Linked DNA regions of Ovis aries. The protein of the gene in region 1 purifies or fractionates together with the protein of each later gene. This does not show direct contact. Links are inferred from orthologs where the notes say so. Each region holds a gene or a part of one and is shown on either strand. Other genes may lie near its edges.

Region 1 (5,441 bases):
CTTTTAAAAAGCACCCTGATGGTAGATCTATATTTGGACTTTATATTTTACTCTACTGGCCTGTGTATTCATGCACCAGGATGCAATTTTTAATTATAGAGGTTTTGTAATGTGCTTTAACATTTGGTAAGGCTAGTCCACCTTCACAGCTTTCTTTCAGTGTTCATTTTCCCATGTGTATATGCATACATATGTTCATACGTGTATGAATTTGTATGTTCACAGATGCATACAGCTCTGATCACTCAAAGACCCTAGAAGGAAATACACCGTAGAGTCTAGATCTGGGTTTCTAATAGCACTCCCCACTGAACAAAATAAAAGTTCTTCACAAAAATGAATGATCCACGGCAGGGGAGGGTATAAAATGAGCATGGTATAACTTGCTGGGCAAGGAAACAAGATGTGCTCAAGAGCAATGAGATCATGACACAAAGCCATGAGAGGCAGGCTGATGGGATTTCTATCAGCCAAAAGGGAGGTAATTTGAAAATCAAAAACATGCATCATTAACCCATAGAACTCGTAAGTCCATGAAAATATGCACGTTGACTGATAAATATGGAGAAAATGATGAAGTTGGAAAATTGTCATTTTGCAACCAACACAAAAGAATAGCTTAGTAAGAATTAATAGATTCAAAATTGGGGGCGGGGACACACACAAATAGGATACTCACATGGTCTTAACTGTCTCCTCACAGACTACTTAATACCTCCAAGGGGAAACACATCTATAAGGGGAAATTTATTTCTATAATGGAGAAGCTGACAAGTTAATGAAAAGTGACCCTCAAAATGAAGGACTAAAGACATAAGGTGCTTTTGCATGTTACAGCATAAGAAAAACATCACTTAAGTAATGCACTTTGGATGGAAACATACAATCTAAATCTAATCAGGAGGAACAATAAGAGAAATTCAAAGCGAAGAACATTCTATTTTTTAAAGCGATTTTTCACTAATAAATATCCAGAATAGGTAAATCCAGAGACAGAAGGCAGTTTGGAGGCTGTCAGGGGCTGGAAGGAGGTAGGGAATGTGGGACAACTGCTTAGTGAGTACTGGATTTCCTCGTGTGGTGATGAACACTTGGAATAAGAACTCCGAACAAGAGAGATATAATGGTTACACAACACTGTATGTGTACTAACTGCCACTGAATTACTCACTTTCAAATGGCTAATGTTATGTTACCTTCAATAAAAAAAGAGAAAAAGACTATTTTTCCAATTATGTCTGTCACTAAAAGACAAAGGCTGAAGAAGTGTTTCAGGTTAAAAGAGACATGAAAGATATGACACGTACAAGCAGTATGTAATCCTAGACTAAAGGGAAAATTTTCTTTTAAAAAACATTCTCAGGTCAATTGACAAAATCAGAACGAAACAGATTTTTAACAGTATTCTACCAGTATCAGACTGACTGAGGTTGCTATCCATAATGTGGTCATGAAAGAGAATACCCTTATTCCTAGGAAATACTCACTGAAGGGTTATAAAGCCATGAGGTACGCAACTTATTCTCATAAGGTTAAAAGGTTAGATGTGCCTATACATATACACGTATATGTAAAAAATATATACATGTATGTGTACATATGAGTGTATGAGAACATACGCGATAAAACCGGGGCGTAAATGTCAATGGGTGAATATAAATGTAATCAACTACTTTGGCCAGTTTAAGTTCATAATTATCAGCAGTTTTTTTTAAAAAAAGCGTGTACCTTCTAAAAATGCTCCATATTACCTAAAACCACTCTGAAACTCTCAAAATTCACTAGTCTAACATTATGTAACAGGTTTTAAAAATGCTGTCTTCTCTATATGTCAGCTGGCAGTACTCACATTGATAAGCTCCAGATCACACTGGCCACGCTCATAAGCAACACAGGCCAGATGCGGATCTCTCTTCTCACAATACTTTCCAACAACACGACTGTCATAGTAAGGATTTTCCCGAAGAAACCGCTCTGGATTGTTATTACTGTCTATGTAGATTTTGGCTAATGCATTATGAGTAGCAGGCTCTTCACAGCCCTCATGAATTCTGGCCTCCAGCCAAGGCAGAAGCAGTTTCAATCTAGTAAAAAAATAAAACAAGAAAAGAAACACACAAAAAAACCCACATATACATATACTATATTATAAATAACACACTCTTGACATGCTATGTACCTTATGGTCTATAAAGTGCTTTCCCATACCCTATTTTGAATTCTCAACATTTCTATCAGAAACTGAGAAATTAGGACTCAGAGATGGTTAAAGGATTTGTCCAATGTTACACAGAAGGTATATAAGACTGTCCTTCATACTCTCCCAGACCTATCTGCTACATTATCTAGACAGGATATGGAGAGAAGAGACTACAGATTCACAGATTATTCTTTTTCATATGGGGCAAATGGCTGGACCTCTGAGTAATATTGCTTAGGAGTAGGACAGAGATGTGGTATGAGAAAACAAGCCACATTATCTGCGGTTCCTTTTAATTTTACCACAATTACCATGCAACATTACATACAGCAAAAAGAAGCAGTAACGTAAGTAAACACATAACTGGGAACAAAATCTGGTAAAATTCTAGCAGTCATAAAATCAATCACTCCACCAAGGGCCATGGTTTTGCTAAGTTATAGCTTATTTTCCAATGGTTCAGATGACCAACACTCTTACCATGGTTTAAATAACATGTTAAATAGTTACAAGAAATCCACGGAAAGAGGCGCCTGGTAGGCTATAGTCCATGGTGTCACAGAAGAGTTGGATACGACTTAGCAACTATACAATAATCACTTTAAATCAGTCTCAAGCTTTAAAAAAATAAAACTCAGTATTATATTCTACATCTCCATTGTCCTTAAGTGCAGAATTTTTCAAACATTTTCTGAAACATTTAGCTTGAAACATTTAGATATAAATTATGTTATAAATTTCCATTAGTAGAACACTTGTACCAACTCAGGTTAAAATTAAACCCTATTCTTGAGATGGTTTCATTGCTAGAGGAACTTCCTACTTAACCTCATTACTTCTCACTAACCTCATTTACTATGTCAGCACTTTGTGAACACACAATGTCCTGGCTAAAAAAAAGACTTCATGATCTAACTATCAGAAGCACTCATATTATGTTCTCTTCTATTGGAAATTCCTAACTCATATTATATCAAGGTTCAACTTAAAAATAAGTTTAACTCAGAGTTATACAGGGAATGTTTTTCTCTTGTCATACTTGATTATTTACCAGAGAGTAATTAGTTACTAGGTATCATACCTAAAAGGAGGCTTTTTACATAGTTTACATTAAAAACACATAGCTGTGTGGTTTGACTTAATGTAATTATAAACATGCAAAAAGAAGGTGAACACTCATTACTAGAGAAATGCAAATCAAAACCATAGCGAGACATCATCTCACATTTATAAGAATGGCCGCCATCAAAAAGTCTACAAACAACGAATGCTGGACAGGGTGTGGAGAAAAGGGAACCCTCTTACACTGCTGGTAGGAATGCCAAGTGGTACAGCCACTACAGAGAACAGTGTGGCGATTCATTAAAAAAGTGGAAACAGAACTGCCGTATGACCCAGCCATCCCACTGGTGGGCATACACATCAAGGAAACCAGAACTGAAAGAGACACGTGTACCCCAATGTTCACTGCAGCACTGTTTACCACAGCTAGGACATGGAAGCCACCTAGATGTCCATACGCAGATGAATGGATAAGGAAGCTGTGGTACATATGCACAATGGAATACTACTCAGCTCTAAAAAAGAATTCATCTGAGTCAGTTCTAAGGAGGTAGATGAAACTGGAGCCTATCATACAGAGTGAAGTAAGTCAGAAAGAGAAATACCAATACAGTAAAGACGGTAAAGATGCTATATGCAAGGTGGCAAAAGAGACACAAGATGTAAGGAACAGGCTTTTGGACTCTGTGGGAAAATGCAAGGGTGGGAAGACTTGAGAGAAAAGCACTGAAGCATGTGTATTACTGTATGTAAAACAGATGACCAGTGCAAGTTCAAGGCGTGAAGCAGGGCACTCAAAGCTGATGCTCTGGGACAACCCAGAGGGATAAGGTGGGGAGGGAGTTGGGAGGGGGGTTCAGGAAGGGGACTCACATGTGCACCCATGGGTGATTCATGTCGATGTATGGCAAAAACCACCACAGTATTGTAAAGAAATTATCCTCCAATTAAAATTAATTAATCAAAAAAAGGTGAATGACTAGATTAACAGATATTCTATATGACAGCCGTATACAGCAAGTTACAGCTAGCTTATCACTTCTAAATTAGGCATCTCTAGGGAATTAAGATCCATGAGTACTGAGTAGTTTTAGGCAACGGACAGGTTATACTTCTATTTAATACAATGCTAGGAGAGACTAATAATTTATCCTACTTGTGAATATTAAAATAGTACTACACCTGTTTCTTTTTTCAACTTCAGCAACAAGCTCATCAGTAGAGAATTGACCTCTTACAACAAGAATCAAATTTTTAATGACATCTTCAGAGCAATCAACATCAAGTAATCCCCCAATAACCACCGGCAGTCGACTTGGATTCACCTATGGTTTTAAAAAAAAAAAAGAATGGCATTATGTTACCAAGAAACAAAACTGAAAAGAGTTCTTAAAAAAAAAAAAGCAAAAAGCAAGAAAAACGCATTTTCCTCTTCAACCTGTTTTAAAAGTCAGTAATAAACAGATTCTAAATTTGACACTAGACAAAGGAATTTAGTAGGAAGTCTGCCTTATTACTCCTAAGGAGAAATAAGTCCAAAGAAGCGAAAGGAACAGAATGACTGAAAATATTATCTGGTAAAAAGGCCTCCATCGTAGCAAAACTGCCTTCTGGAGTTAGAATGCAAAGTTTCTAATACCTTTATTTAAGATGGTTTTAATACTGGGCTTTGGAGGCTGTGGCCTCTACATGGATACCTCAGGGACTATCCGGTAAGTAAGGCGTAGGCCACTCAACTTTTCAACTGCTGCAGTTCTGTTCTGTTTTACATACTTGGAATGCATGTAAAATTTTAATCCAAGAAAGGATTCTACTGGGGAAAAAAAATGGAAAGCCAATGCAGCACACCACTCTTACTGAGCACAGGGTTTCAAAAGGATGAAGATGCCCAGTGTAAGAAGTAAAATCTGTAAGATTATATTTTCAAGTTATCTAAGTATTACTTACCTTCTGTACATATATTTCTATATACTTTTGAAGATTATTTCTATATAAATAGAGCACCAAATCGTGGACAAAGTCAAATCGATCGCACACAATGATAAGTGGTAACTGATCTGTTAGCTTTGCTTCCTGGAGGGAAAAAAAAAGAAACCTTAATTTTCTTCTTCTGTGAGGTTATCAGTGTAAAATGAGAATCGGTTCCACACTTGTGGGAAAGGGTCACATAAACTTGGTT
Region 2 (6,200 bases), on another chromosome or scaffold:
CTAAGACAGTAGTCTAAAAGGCCAGCAATTTCCAAGAAAGGTAACTCAGTCTGTGAGGAAGCTGTTAGGACGGCTGTATGGATTTTTAGCACGGTGATAAACTAGGAAACAATGAGGAGGCATCCAAATTCATTGGAAAAAAAAAAAAGACAAAGGAGATCCCCACTGTGCTAGTCAAACAAAAACAGTTGAAGGATCATATGAGACATCTTAAGGAGTTTGGGCTTCCCTCATAGCTCCGTCGGAGAAGACCTGGGTTTGATTCCTGGGTCAGGAAGATCCTCTGGAGAAGGACGTGGCAACCCACTCCAGTATTCTTGCCTGGAGAATCCCATGGACAGGGGAGCCTGGCAGGCTACCATCCATGGGGTTGCAAGAGTCGGCTCGACTTAGCGAGTAAACCACCAAGGAGTTTGGACTTTATACCAAGGGTAGTGGAGTGCCTCCACAGGAGTTTAAAGAGAGGAGTACCTAATCAGGCTTTCATTTTATAAAATGCAAATCTGATGGTACTGTACAGACTGGATTAGGAGCAGACAAGATTGCAGCCTGGGAAATGCCGCGTGAACGGCCTGAAATAAGACAGCAGCTGCTAGGAGAAACTGGATACACCAGAGAGGCAGGGCTGCTGTTTAGGCACTAAGCTGAGTCAGACTCTGTGTGACCCTATGGTCTGTAGCCCACCAGACTCCTCTATCAAATGGGATTTTCCAGGCAACAATACTGGAGTGGGTTGCCATTTCCTTCCCCAGGGAATATTCCCCACCAGGGAGCCAATCCTCCTCTCCTGTACTGGGCGGATGGAGTCTTTACCTTTGAGGCACCAGGGAAGCCAGAGAAACAGGGAGCTAGGGGCAAAGAGACAGTAATGAATTGCAAGTGGAGGAGGAAGGGGAGGAAGAGGGAGAGAGAGAGAAAATCAAGTCACTACTCACAGTAAGTTGTGTGTATGGGCTTCTATTGGTCTGTCAAAGCCTTTTAATCTTAAATCCAAAATGAAGTCAAAGCAGTGAACTGAAACCATCCACTCCTTTTCGTTTTGAAATCTAATTAAGTTTTACCTCCTGGCAATCTGGAATTAAATTTCTGAGATTGCTGTCAATTATTTCCTTTCTTGGTTTCTCTTCCTCTTTCTTACTTTCCTATTTTATTCTTAACATCTTATGTTTTAACTCTATGCTAAAATACCTCATCATAACTTAGCTTTCCCCCTAGAACTGTGGAACATCTAAATAACTGAAACTTGTCCCCATCACAATCTTGTAGATTTCCCAAACTTGTCCTTGATCAGAATCTTGTAGGTTTCCTGAAGCCTTCCCCTTGCTACTTGGAATGTTTCCGGGTTAATGTTCACAGGGTAATTGCTGTGAGTACGACTAGCTTTTTCTCCGCGGAGACTCTCAGCATTATAGTCAGCATATCATTTTCTTAAAAAAACAAAACAAAACAAAAAAACTTCTTTTTGTCGTAAAGGCGAAACATATTTTCATCATATTAAACTTTCGAATACGACTCACAGGTATGTCACTTGTACAAACAGAAAAACAAATAAACAGATTATATCTGGGTTCCACTAAGTGTATACGGCGGTGGCAGAAGAAATGCAAAATTTCCATCTCAGACCCCCGTTCCCAAAAGCAGAACAGCAAGTTTGTTGCACGGGGAGGTGACCACCCTCGTTGAGCAGCGCAGCCCTAGGCTGCGGGGGAGTCCGCCTCCCCCCGCCTCCGCCCAGCGGCCCGCCGCCCCCCACTACCCCCCCACCCTCTCCACAACCCAGGGTCCTCGCCCCGTCCCCGAACTACTTTCTCCGTCCGGGAACTGATTCCTGCTGCGACGGACTGCACCGTCCCTGCAGCCACAGTCCGCAGGGGGCTCTGCAGGCGCCGGGAACCACAGCCCCGCGAACCAGGCGGTTTTGCGGGGGCAGGAACTAGGGCTCCGGGCCAGGCCAGGGGAGGCTCCTCCGGGAGCAGCCGAGCGCCCACCAGGTCCGGGAGGCTCGGCGCCGCGGGCTGGAGAGGAGGGGCGGGGCGGCTCTGCGCCGAGCGCGCCCCCTCCCGGCGCGCCCCCGCTTCTGGCGCGCGCGCCCTCCTCCCGGCGCGCGCCCCCCTCTCCCGGTGCGCGCCCACCCCGCGCGTGCCCCCTCCTCCCGACGTGTGCCCCCTCCTCCCGGCGCGCGCGCGCCCTCTCCCGGTGCGCGCCCACCCCGCGCGCGCCCCGTCCTCCCGGCGCGCGCGCGCCCTCTCCCCGGTGCGCGCCCACCCCGCGCGCGCTCTGTGCTCCCGGCGCGGGCCCCCTCCCCGGCGCGTGCCCCCCTCTCCCGGCGCGCGCGCCCGCTCCGCCCGCCGGGCCCGCGGCCTCCCCGCCCCCTCGGGCGCTCCGTAGCCGTGACGTGCGCGCGGCGGGGCCGGGGACTCGGCAGGGCGCCGGCCGGCGGGTGGAGACGGACCCGGGATCTGTCCGAGCAGGAAGCGAGCCGGAGACCGGTCGCCGCCGCCGCCGCCCCGTCCCGGTGCCGGCGCTCGCCGTCGCTGTCTCTTCGCCCTCGTCAGCCCCAGACCCCACCCTCCAGCCTCGCCGGCGACAGGTAGCCCCGCCGCCGCGCACCTGCCCTCGCGTCCGCACCGGTGAGTGTCCGGGGCGCCCGCGCCTCGCCCTCTGCAGCCTCGCTGTCCGAGCCCTGCCTCGCTTCGAGGCCTCCGCCCGCCGCCCGGGGTCGACGAGCCGGCTCGGTTCTTCTCCCCAGGACGCCGGGGGTGAAGCAGGTGATGCGTGGGCCCGGGCGGCGGCGGTCCCGGGAACTCAGGGCTGGGTCTCACTTCCACAGGACAATGAGAGTCTCCTTTCATGGGTTTGTCATCGCTAAGATACCTTTGTGTATCACCTCTGGCTCCCAGGTTGAAACAGAGCACTCAGGTGTCCAGCTCAGACCTGGACGCTCCGTGACAGTTTTCTCTTTCGTCCACGAGCTTAAAATTCAGTGCAGAAAGAGTACTTTTTGTTCTGGGATGCGAAAATCAGCTGCTATTACTATTAATCATACAGGAGCCCGGATTGGGACTATGTAAACTTGCATTTTTAGTCTTCGGTTAGTCTAGTGTTTTGGGTTTTTAAATTTATGTATCTGCTACTGAACAAGAGCTTTTCATATTTGTAAGTTTCCGAAACTCTTTAAACGATTAAAATTACTCAAACTCTGGGATAAGGAAATACTTTGAGAGGGTTATTGTTATTAGAGCATCCGTATCAGAAATATTTCTATACAGTTTTAGAAAAAGTGTTACATTTTATCCGGCGTGAAGTTTGTAGTGGAGGAATGCTTAAATCCTAATCTACAGATCTGAGGAGCTAGGAACACTGCCCCAATTTAATAGGCTGCTGTTCATGCTAAGTAAGTTTTCCTGGTGGTTGTGCTCTGACCGTGTAGATGCAGTATAGGTAAATATCGTCTGGGTTTGAGAGTTTTAAAGTGTTATTCTTAAGATTTAGCTGAACACTGTTCACACCATAAAATGTGAATCTTGAACTTGGTCATGGTACAAAGGTTGGCAGCAAAAGGACGCTTCTCTACAAATTAACTAAACCTCTTAGATTCCTTGGCTTGTGGTTTGCCATTGAAAATTGTTTACTGAAAAAACTACCTTGGTGTCTTTTAATATTAGTTTTAGTAACACCACAACTTGGTCTATAGCCAGAGCTTGAAACAAAGCAACCTTTTAAAATAACTCATTGACTTTTAAATATCCAGCTTAATTACTTGCATAGTGGTAAACAAAAGTTATTTTAGTCTTATGCACACTTGCCCAGTTGCACTTGTATGTTCTGTGCGACATGCTATTCATTGTTGGCTTTTAAGTTACATTTTAGTTTCCAAAAACTGACTTTAAGAGGGAGTAATGGAAGTGGTGAGCAACGTTAAGAAAAGATAATGATTAAAAACTCTCTATATAATATTTTAAACTATGTATAATATATATATTTTTTCATTAGTGCCTGGAAACATGGGCAAGAAAAATGTAATAAGGTATTGCAAAATTTAATGTAAATTCATGCAAAGTCTTAAAAATATCATCAGTCGTAACCCGTGGAGCTCATCTGAAATGGATTTTTTCCTCTGTTTATGTTTGTGTGATCAAGTTTTAAAATAACAGTGGCCAGGAAATCTGAGAGAAGCTGAGGCCCTTTTCTCATCCTGTTGTGACTTTGCCTGGAGACTGTGGTAGATTATGTAGTCCATTGTTTAGATAACCCAGCTGTCTCCGGATTCTCAAATACAACTTTCTTTTCTTTTCGTTAATTAATTTTTATTGCAGTATAATTGCTTACAATGTTGTGCTACCTTCTACTGTACAGCAAAGTGAACCGGCCATACATAATACATATACCCCTCTTTTTTGGATTTTCCCTCCCGTTTAGGACATCACAGTGCATGAAGGAGAGTTCGCTGTTCTGTACAGTATATTCCCATCAGTTCTCTGCGTTATACATGGTATCAGTTGTGTAGATGTGTCAGTCCAATCTCCCAATAAAACGCAGCTTTTCAAATAACATTTTAAAGAAATGATCATGAGGTTTGAATAAATATAAGCACCCCAGACTTTTTTTCTAAGAAAACTTTACAGTCTGCCGATATGTCTTTTGTGTCAAATGTCAGTTTTACAAGGATATTTAACCTTTGTGAATTTTTTATTTCTATATATTAAAACATTTTAAGTAAAAGATTGAAAAAAAGTATGACAACTGTAATAAATTCCATACAGTTTATCTGCGATGCTTATGAGATATTTGGTATTAGTATAATTGGTGACTGGCCCTTTGGTAGGATAAAATTGTCGTTTATTAGGCATCTGGCATGAGCAGAACAGTGAGGAACTTGATCTACAAAATAATTTTCAAGGTTGGTGGTCTTGTGTGTGTGTGCATGCTCGGGTGCTCAGATGTGTCCGACTCTGTGACCCTCTGGGCTGTAGCCCCCCAGGCTCCTCTGTCCATGGAATATTTCAGGTAAGAATAGTGGAGCAGGTTGCCACTTCCTACTCTAGGGGATCTTCCTGACCCAGGGATCGAACCTGCGTCTCTTGAGTCTCCTGCATTGGCAGGCGGATTCTTTACACTAGCACCACCTGTCCTAAATTGTCCCTTGAGGAAATTTAGGCTCAGAGAGTAAATATTTGCTCAAGGTAATGAGGTCCTGTCAGTTCCTGAGAGATTCTGGATTCACGCTCAAGTCTTCTGACCGTGAAACCTCAGTCCTTTCCACCAGAGTGGGTTACCTTGATCTCAGGTGCATTTGGTAGACTCTTCTGGTAAACCTGCAGAACTGGTATTGTTCTAAAGAATGTAACTGCAGAGTGAAGGAGGTATAGAGGAGCAATGTTGAGAAAGACTGGACATGGGACTGTGGAACTAACTTTGAATTCTGTTTCTTCGTTCTTAGGTGGACAGCCTTAAACAGTGATATGATGTTGCTTTATCATTTTGGGGGTAAATTCCAGAATATTACATGTATTGTGCACTTTTAATTTTGGTGGGTTATAGGAACTAGAATCAGACTGCAATGTAGTACTGGTTTTCATTGTAGCTAAAATGAATAGCATAATATTCTTGGTTAGGATGGAACTTCAAATGAGGTAGACTATTGCCCATAAGTACAGTAGTTGCCTTTTAAATAATACATAATTAACTGTGTAATACTAAGGGGGGAAATGGTTTTTAGATCATGATTAAATGGGGACCTGTTCGATTAGAACAGGTTTTTTAATGGCCTGTGTTTATTTCAGGAATGCCCCTCGAGCTGTAATAGACGTAGAGAACAAAAATGAGCACATGAAGTCCACCTTCTGTAACAAATGAGTCGTTTCGGCAGTAGGATGTGGCTGAGTAAATGAGCAGAAAAATGGTGGGAAGGCGGAGTTGGGTGACTTCTGTTACAGGTGTTTATTTGTTTTAAACTGTGGGGAATTTCGCATCTGGAAGATACTCATATTCAACTGTAAATACAAAACCATCATCCAAAGGCTAAGTGTAAATTATTAATGGATGATCTGTAACACATCTGCTTAGGGGTGTGTGTGTATGTGTGTGTGTGTGTGTGTGTGTGTGTGTGTGTGTGTGGATAATCAAGAACTAACTAAAGCTTAATAAGCTTAATTTTGTTTTTGATAATAAGCTTAACTGTTTTTGAGGCATATATAATG
Region 3 (5,997 bases), on another chromosome or scaffold:
ATTAACTCCCTTCTCATAGGAGGCTTCTGTTTGCTCACCCCGAGGCGACAGTGAAAGTGGAGCCCAGAGGCCCTGTGGGACAGAGGCCGAAGGGATCTGAGTGACATCTGAGTCCCAGAAACAAGGCTTCAGCTGCCACCGCTGGGAACACCTGCCCTGCGGTCACGCAGTGGTGACGGGGTGAGAGATGATGCCTCTGATCGCAGCAAACTGTCCCCGAAGGAGGCTGTCCACCTGTCTTATTCCTCCTCCAAGATCTGCAGCAAACACAGAGCTCCTGCCCACGGGCCAGACACTTGCCAAGTGCCCAGTAAGTCACTCAGCCCTAATAACAACCCAAAGAGGTAGACAGCGTTGTCGCCCCCATTTTACAGCTGAGGAAACTGAGGCAAGGGAGGTAAGACACTCGCCAAGGTCACAGCACTAACCACCAACAGAGCACCAACTGGAAACCCGGGGTCTGGGCTCCAGAGCCCATATTCTTGACCACACATCAGACCAATCCATTTCTATTTTTTAAACACAGTTCTCATAAAACACCAAAAAAAAGGGAAGTGAAAACAAATCTCTGGCCACAAGGTGAGTCAATGGAGCAGAGGCTTTGGAGAAGCTGGGCTTCTTTTTTCCTGAGCAAACAATGAGACCTGTGAACAGTGTCATGTTGAAAGCATGTCCAGGGTTCAGAGCCACTGGGAGGAAAAAGCAGGGAAAGAAGTTATAAGTTACAAATACACAGGCTGGAAAGACTTTTTCCAAAGACAAACACCAAAACAGAGGAAGTCCTGGCTGTGACCCTAGGTTGCTATGAGACCAGGGCTTGGTTTTGCACCTGTAATATGGTGTTCATAGTAGCTGCTTTTGAATTGTGGTGAAGACTCTTGTGAGTCCCCTGGACAGCAAGAAGATCAAACCAGTCAATCCTGAATATTCATTGCAAGGACTGATGCTGAAGCTCCAATACTTTGGCCACTTGATATGAAGGGTCGACTAGCTGGAAAAGACCGTGATCCTGGGAAAGACTGAGGGCAGGAGGAAAAGGGGCGACAGGAAGAGAAGGCTGGATGGCATCACCGACTCAATGGACATGAGTTTGAGCAAGTTCTGGGAGATGGCGAAGGACAGGGAAGCCTGGCGTGCTGCAGTCCATGGGGTTGAAAAGAGCTGAACAAGACTTACCTACTGAGCAACAATTACCCGCTCTAACTCACAGAGCTGTCATAGGACTTGAGCTATTTCCTAAACAGAGAAAGAGGATGCTAAGCTGAAAGTGTTGTTTACAATATGCCAAGGCCTGTACTGGGGACTCAAATGCATTAACTCTTTTTTTTTAAGTATATCTTGTTTTTCTCTTTTATTTTATTTTTGGCTGCATTAGGTCTTTGCTGCTGTGCTCCGGCTTTTTGTAACTGCTCTGCTACAATGCGTAGGCTTCTCATTGTGGCGGCGTCTCCTGTCGCAGAGCACAGGCTCTGGGCCCAGGGCTCCAATAGTTGCACCACGTGGGCCCTAGAGCCCAGGCTCAGTAGCTGTGGCACACGGGCTTAGCTGTCCCAAAGCATGTGGAATCTTCCTGCACCACGATCAGACCCATGTCCCCTGCATTGGCAGGCAGATTCTTAACCACTGGACCACCAGCAAAGTCCCTGCGTTAACTCTTGATGCTCATAAGCTTACAAGCATAGTATTAGTTCTGTTACAGGTGAGAAAAATGAGGCCCAGATTAGTGAGGTAATCATCTGTAACAGCTGACGTCACTCAGCTATTAAGTCGAAAAGGTGGGACCTAAACCAAAGTTGGCCTGATTCCAGTGTCTATTTCTGTGACATTACTCTGCCCTTTTACCAAGAAACCAATGGCCCAGAATTCTGTAGGCAGATGAAAGTGAAAGTCACTCAGTCATGTCCAACTCTTTGTGACCCCACGGACTATACAGTCCCTGCGATTCTCCAGCCCAGAATACTGGAGCGGGTAGCTTTTCCCCTCGCCAGGGGATCTTCCCAATCCAGGGATCGAACCCAGGTCTCCCACATTGCAGGGGGATTCTTTACCAGCTGAGCAACCAGGGGTAGATGAGATCACCAGATCCTGGCATTCTTTTGCAGTAGAAAAATGGAAACCAGAGATCAGCAATGGCAGTTCTAGAACTCTGAGCCAAACTTCCCAGGGTAAAGATTTTGTTTCACTTTCTCTGGTACTAACATGGTCTCATTCCTCTGTGCATTCTTTCCCCCCCCCATGGATGATGGGAGTGTTTAGCTTCTGTTCTTAATTTGATATACATCTTGGAATTAAAACAGTAGATGGAAAGGAGACCAAACTTTGGGAAAGAAGTAAAATTCTGGAACTTTAGATCAATTAACCTAATTTATTGGATGTCTCCATTGGTCCATTGAGGCCTGGGGTTTGATTCCTGGTCAGGGAACTAAGATCCCATAAGCTGGGAAGCTCAGCCAATTTTTTTTTTTTTAATCTAATTTTCTGGTTTTACAAATGAGGAAAAAGATGCCCAAAGAGATTAAATGATGGACTCAAAGGAATACAAACTGTTAGTGTGTGAAGGAAGGCAGCGGCAGTGTGAACCGAGAAAGGGAGAGCTTCTTGGAAAACTTCTTCCCCGACCCATTTTCTTTCTTCTATTTTTTTTCTTCTCCACCACCTTACTCACTGGGGCTCCGTCAATATTCAGGCAGCAGCCACATTGCCTCCTGGTTGTTCCTTTTCACTTCTGCTCTGTCCTTCAACGGTACCAGACAGTCCTTCCCAAGGCAGATGTCTCACAGGGTACCTGATGCCCAGTCGACACACCTGGTCCTGCTTTGTACCAGCCACACCTGATCTCCCCACAGCGATCCCTTGCCTCCCTCAAAGCCAAAACTGCCTGTCTCTTCCATCCAAATGAAGAGTAAACAAAGGACTGCTTGGGTCGCTCTGGAAGCTACAATGCTATTTATCCCCTCTGCGCAGTCGCGAAAGCAGTAACGCTCCCCTAAAAGTTGGATCTTTCGGTCCAAAGGGGCTCCAGATTACGGTTCTTCTTCTGAGACCAGACAGAATTGCACCAAGTGTTAGAGCGACTCCAACCGCAGAGGTCAGGCTGGCCGGGGCCTTAAAACACATCCTGAGCCATCCTCGGCGTCCGTCCCAGTCCGGTCGTAGACGGACAGCACAACGAAGGCCAGGCACAGCCTTTCCACCCTGACGGTTACGGAGGGCCACCCACCGATTCTCCCAGGGCGGTGCTGGCGTGGATGAGGGGAGGAGCAGACCTAGGTTCAAAGCGTCACACCGAGGAAGTGAGGTGCCTCGGCGGGGATCGCGGAGGGCCGGGGGACGGAATCGGAAAGCAGGTTCCGATCAGACAGCGGGGGCTACCCGGGGCTGGCGGGGTCGGGGGGAGGGGACGGAGACGCTCTTCGAGCGCGCAGGGGTCAGACAAGGTGCGATGGGGGTGCGCCAGGCGAAGGAAAGCCAGTGGAGGCCCCTCCTGGCCTCACCGGCCCCTGCGACAGGGCCTGGGGAGATGATAGACGCGCAGGGGGCGTCACGCGCAGGCGGACGGAGAGACGCGGGAGGAAAGGGGAGGGGGCGGGGAGCAGGAGCGGCCCTCACCTTCTTTACGGCTGGCTGAAAGTGGAAGTCACCGGCCTCTTTCAGGTCCAGCCAGATCATGGGCATGCGGGGCACGGCCTCCATGGCCTCAGGCACCCGCCGGCCTCCCGGCCGCCCCCCAAGCTTTCGCAGCTGCAGGCTCAGCCACGCACCCCGCCCCTCCACGCCGGAAGTCACTTGTCACGCGGGGATGAAAAAAATGCCCCTACTGCCTGCTGGGAGAGGCTGTCCCCTCCTCTGTAGGCTTTTGCGCATGCTCATTTCCCGCTGCGCATGCTCAGTTTCTTGCACGCGGGCACGTGTAGAGGGCAAACCTCCAGCCCGAGGCGAAAGGGTTTCTGGGAGTCGTAGTCTATCTGCATCTAATTGCTAAGCAGGGAGGTAACTGGTTTCTTCTTCCTGGGCAAAGTAGACCGCAGGGACCTGGCTCGGGCTCCAGGCTCTCCCCACTCAGGGGAAGGACATTAGAGAACGTAGCCATAGACTTGTAGACCCTAAGTAGTGTCGAGGGCCTTGGTAGATGGGGTCAGATGCTCTGGTAGAGATAACGTGGTGGCGGGCCACCCCCAGAAGCAGTGACTTAAAAACAGCCTTGGAGTAGGGGCTGCCTGGCCAAGGAGACAGGGCTAACAAGCAAAGGCGTGGCACCCCAGGTGTCGAGTTTTGGAACAGAGGAGTGACTGGTTGGAGACTGGCACGCTCGGCTGAGCCTGTAAGACCGGGCACTGCCTAAGAGACGGCCAAGTCCGTTTTTGATGATGGGGAGAGAACTGGTAAACGAAGTGTAAAGCGTAAGGGGAAAAAAGAGAGAGAGAGAGGCCTAGAGCGATGGGGGTGGGGATGACTATATACAGCCTCGGGAATGCCTTTCAGTCTGGAAGGGGACCAGGGAGCAGAGAACAGTTATTAGCTCTGAAGAGATGACCTGTAGAGCAAGGATTTTAAAATCATGTATATATTACCTAGCTTTAAAAACACGTAAAATGGAGAATGGTTTGTTGGGGCAAAAGTAGAAGGAAGGAAATGAGCGAGGACGTTTGCAACCATGGACTGTAGCCCACTAGGCTCCTCTGCCTCTGAAATTTTCTAGGCAGGAATACTGGAGTGAGTTGTCACTTCCCACTCCAGGAGAATCTTCCCAGCCCAGGGACTGAACCCATGTCTCTTACATCTCCTGCATTGGCAGGTGGATTCTTTAATACTGTGCCACCTGGGAAGCCCTTGGATGACCAACTGCACATTTTTTCCTCAGCAAAAAAAAAAAAAAAAAAAACTCTCATACATTCTGGCTCCTCCCTTACATCTTTAGAACAGTCCCTCCGAGCTGAGAGACTACATCGCAGGCTTAAGTCTTCACTAAGGCTTCTGAATAAAACAGAATTCTCAACTTTTAGGTTGTTCTTTCTTTTTTCAGTTGACAACTCTCTATGTCCCCTGTGCCCCAGCAGTGGAATTGCTGGGTGTGTGAATACAGGGTATTCAGGACATCTGAACAACTCCTGCCCAGGGAACACCAGAAGGTGTGTCCAGAAAGAAGGGTCACAGCCACCCAAACAGGAAGCATGGAGCCCTCCCCTGGGGCCACCTTTCTTAGATGCGAATCCAGAATCACTGCATTACAGGTGGGGAAACTGAGGCAAGGAGAGGGGAAAGAAGCTGTCCCAAACGCCATGGAGCCTCTGAGGGAAGGTCAGAGGAGAGGTCTCCTGTGGCCAGGGAAGGGAGAGGAGAAGGGTGAAGGGAAGATGGGAGCTCTCCTGGTCTCAGACCTGGCAGGCTAGAGGCCAGAGGCAGAAGAATGCCATTGTGTCTCTTCTGTCTCGGCCAACATCCGTGTTCCTGGCGCTTGCGGAGGTGGCCCCCTGCTCCCCTGGTTCAGAAAGAGCAGCGAAGAAGTAGCTGCTCCTCCCTCCAGAGTGTCCAGAGCCCTCTAGGAGCCCTTGAGGCATTGGTTACTTTCTCCCTACAGAAAAGGTTCCAAGAAGACAGATTTGCTAATATGAAGAAGGTTGGGGATCTCTGAGGCCCAGTCACGAAACCGAACCTCTCCCGAGCACCCAAGTTACTTGGCCAGCAGATGGCAGCAAGGCCACAGGGTTGTAACGAAGCAGTTGCAATCCTGGGACACCAAAGCCCCGTAGATTGGAATTGGAAATTAGGGACATGTTTTGTTTTGCTCAGAACCAGGTTTACTTCTTGGGGTGTCTGTGAGTGGAAGGAGGGCAATGGGGGATTCGTTCCTCCCTTGCCGAGGACAAATGTCCTCATTCAGGCGTTGCCAGGGAGAGCCTCAGGGTAGACAGCCTTCGGGATGTCCCAGACACACCCTCCCAACTGCTTGGTGCCAGGCTGTGAGCGCGCCACATGGGGCAGAACTTTGAGACACTC

Evidence for each region. The genes of interacting proteins can lie anywhere in the genome.
Region 2: the proteins of CLTC (region 1) and MYO6 purify together in Homo sapiens (affinity purification with western blotting; 4 studies listed by BioGRID and IntAct, with this or other methods). This does not show direct contact. The link is inferred for Ovis aries from reciprocal best matches to the Homo sapiens genes CLTC and MYO6.
Region 3: the proteins of CLTC (region 1) and PTPN23 purify together in Homo sapiens (affinity purification with mass spectrometry; 3 studies listed by BioGRID and IntAct, with this or other methods). This does not show direct contact. The link is inferred for Ovis aries from reciprocal best matches to the Homo sapiens genes CLTC and PTPN23.

Annotation. Positions count from the first base shown.
Region 1 is NC_056064.1:10,331,464-10,336,904, reverse strand, and holds part of CLTC (clathrin heavy chain 1), read right to left. Parts: intron 5,336-5,441; coding exon 5,210-5,335; intron 4,588-5,209; coding exon 4,445-4,587; intron 2,085-4,444; coding exon 1,850-2,084; intron 1-1,849. UniProt on the Homo sapiens protein: Clathrin is the major protein of the polyhedral coat of coated pits and vesicles. Two different adapter protein complexes link the clathrin lattice either to the plasma membrane or to the trans-Golgi network.
Region 2 is NC_056061.1:2,585,639-2,591,838, forward strand, and holds the start of MYO6 (unconventional myosin-VI), read left to right. Parts: upstream 1-2,412; 5' UTR 2,413-2,630; exon of another isoform or gene 2,631-2,768; intron 2,769-6,200. UniProt on the Homo sapiens protein: Myosins are actin-based motor molecules with ATPase activity. Unconventional myosins serve in intracellular movements. Myosin 6 is a reverse-direction motor protein that moves towards the minus-end of actin filaments.
Region 3 is NC_056072.1:52,286,866-52,292,862, forward strand, and holds the start of PTPN23 (tyrosine-protein phosphatase non-receptor type 23), read right to left. Parts: upstream 3,789-5,997; 5' UTR 3,694-3,788; coding exon 3,610-3,693; intron 1-3,609. UniProt on the Homo sapiens protein: Plays a role in sorting of endocytic ubiquitinated cargos into multivesicular bodies (MVBs) via its interaction with the ESCRT-I complex (endosomal sorting complex required for transport I), and possibly also other ESCRT complexes.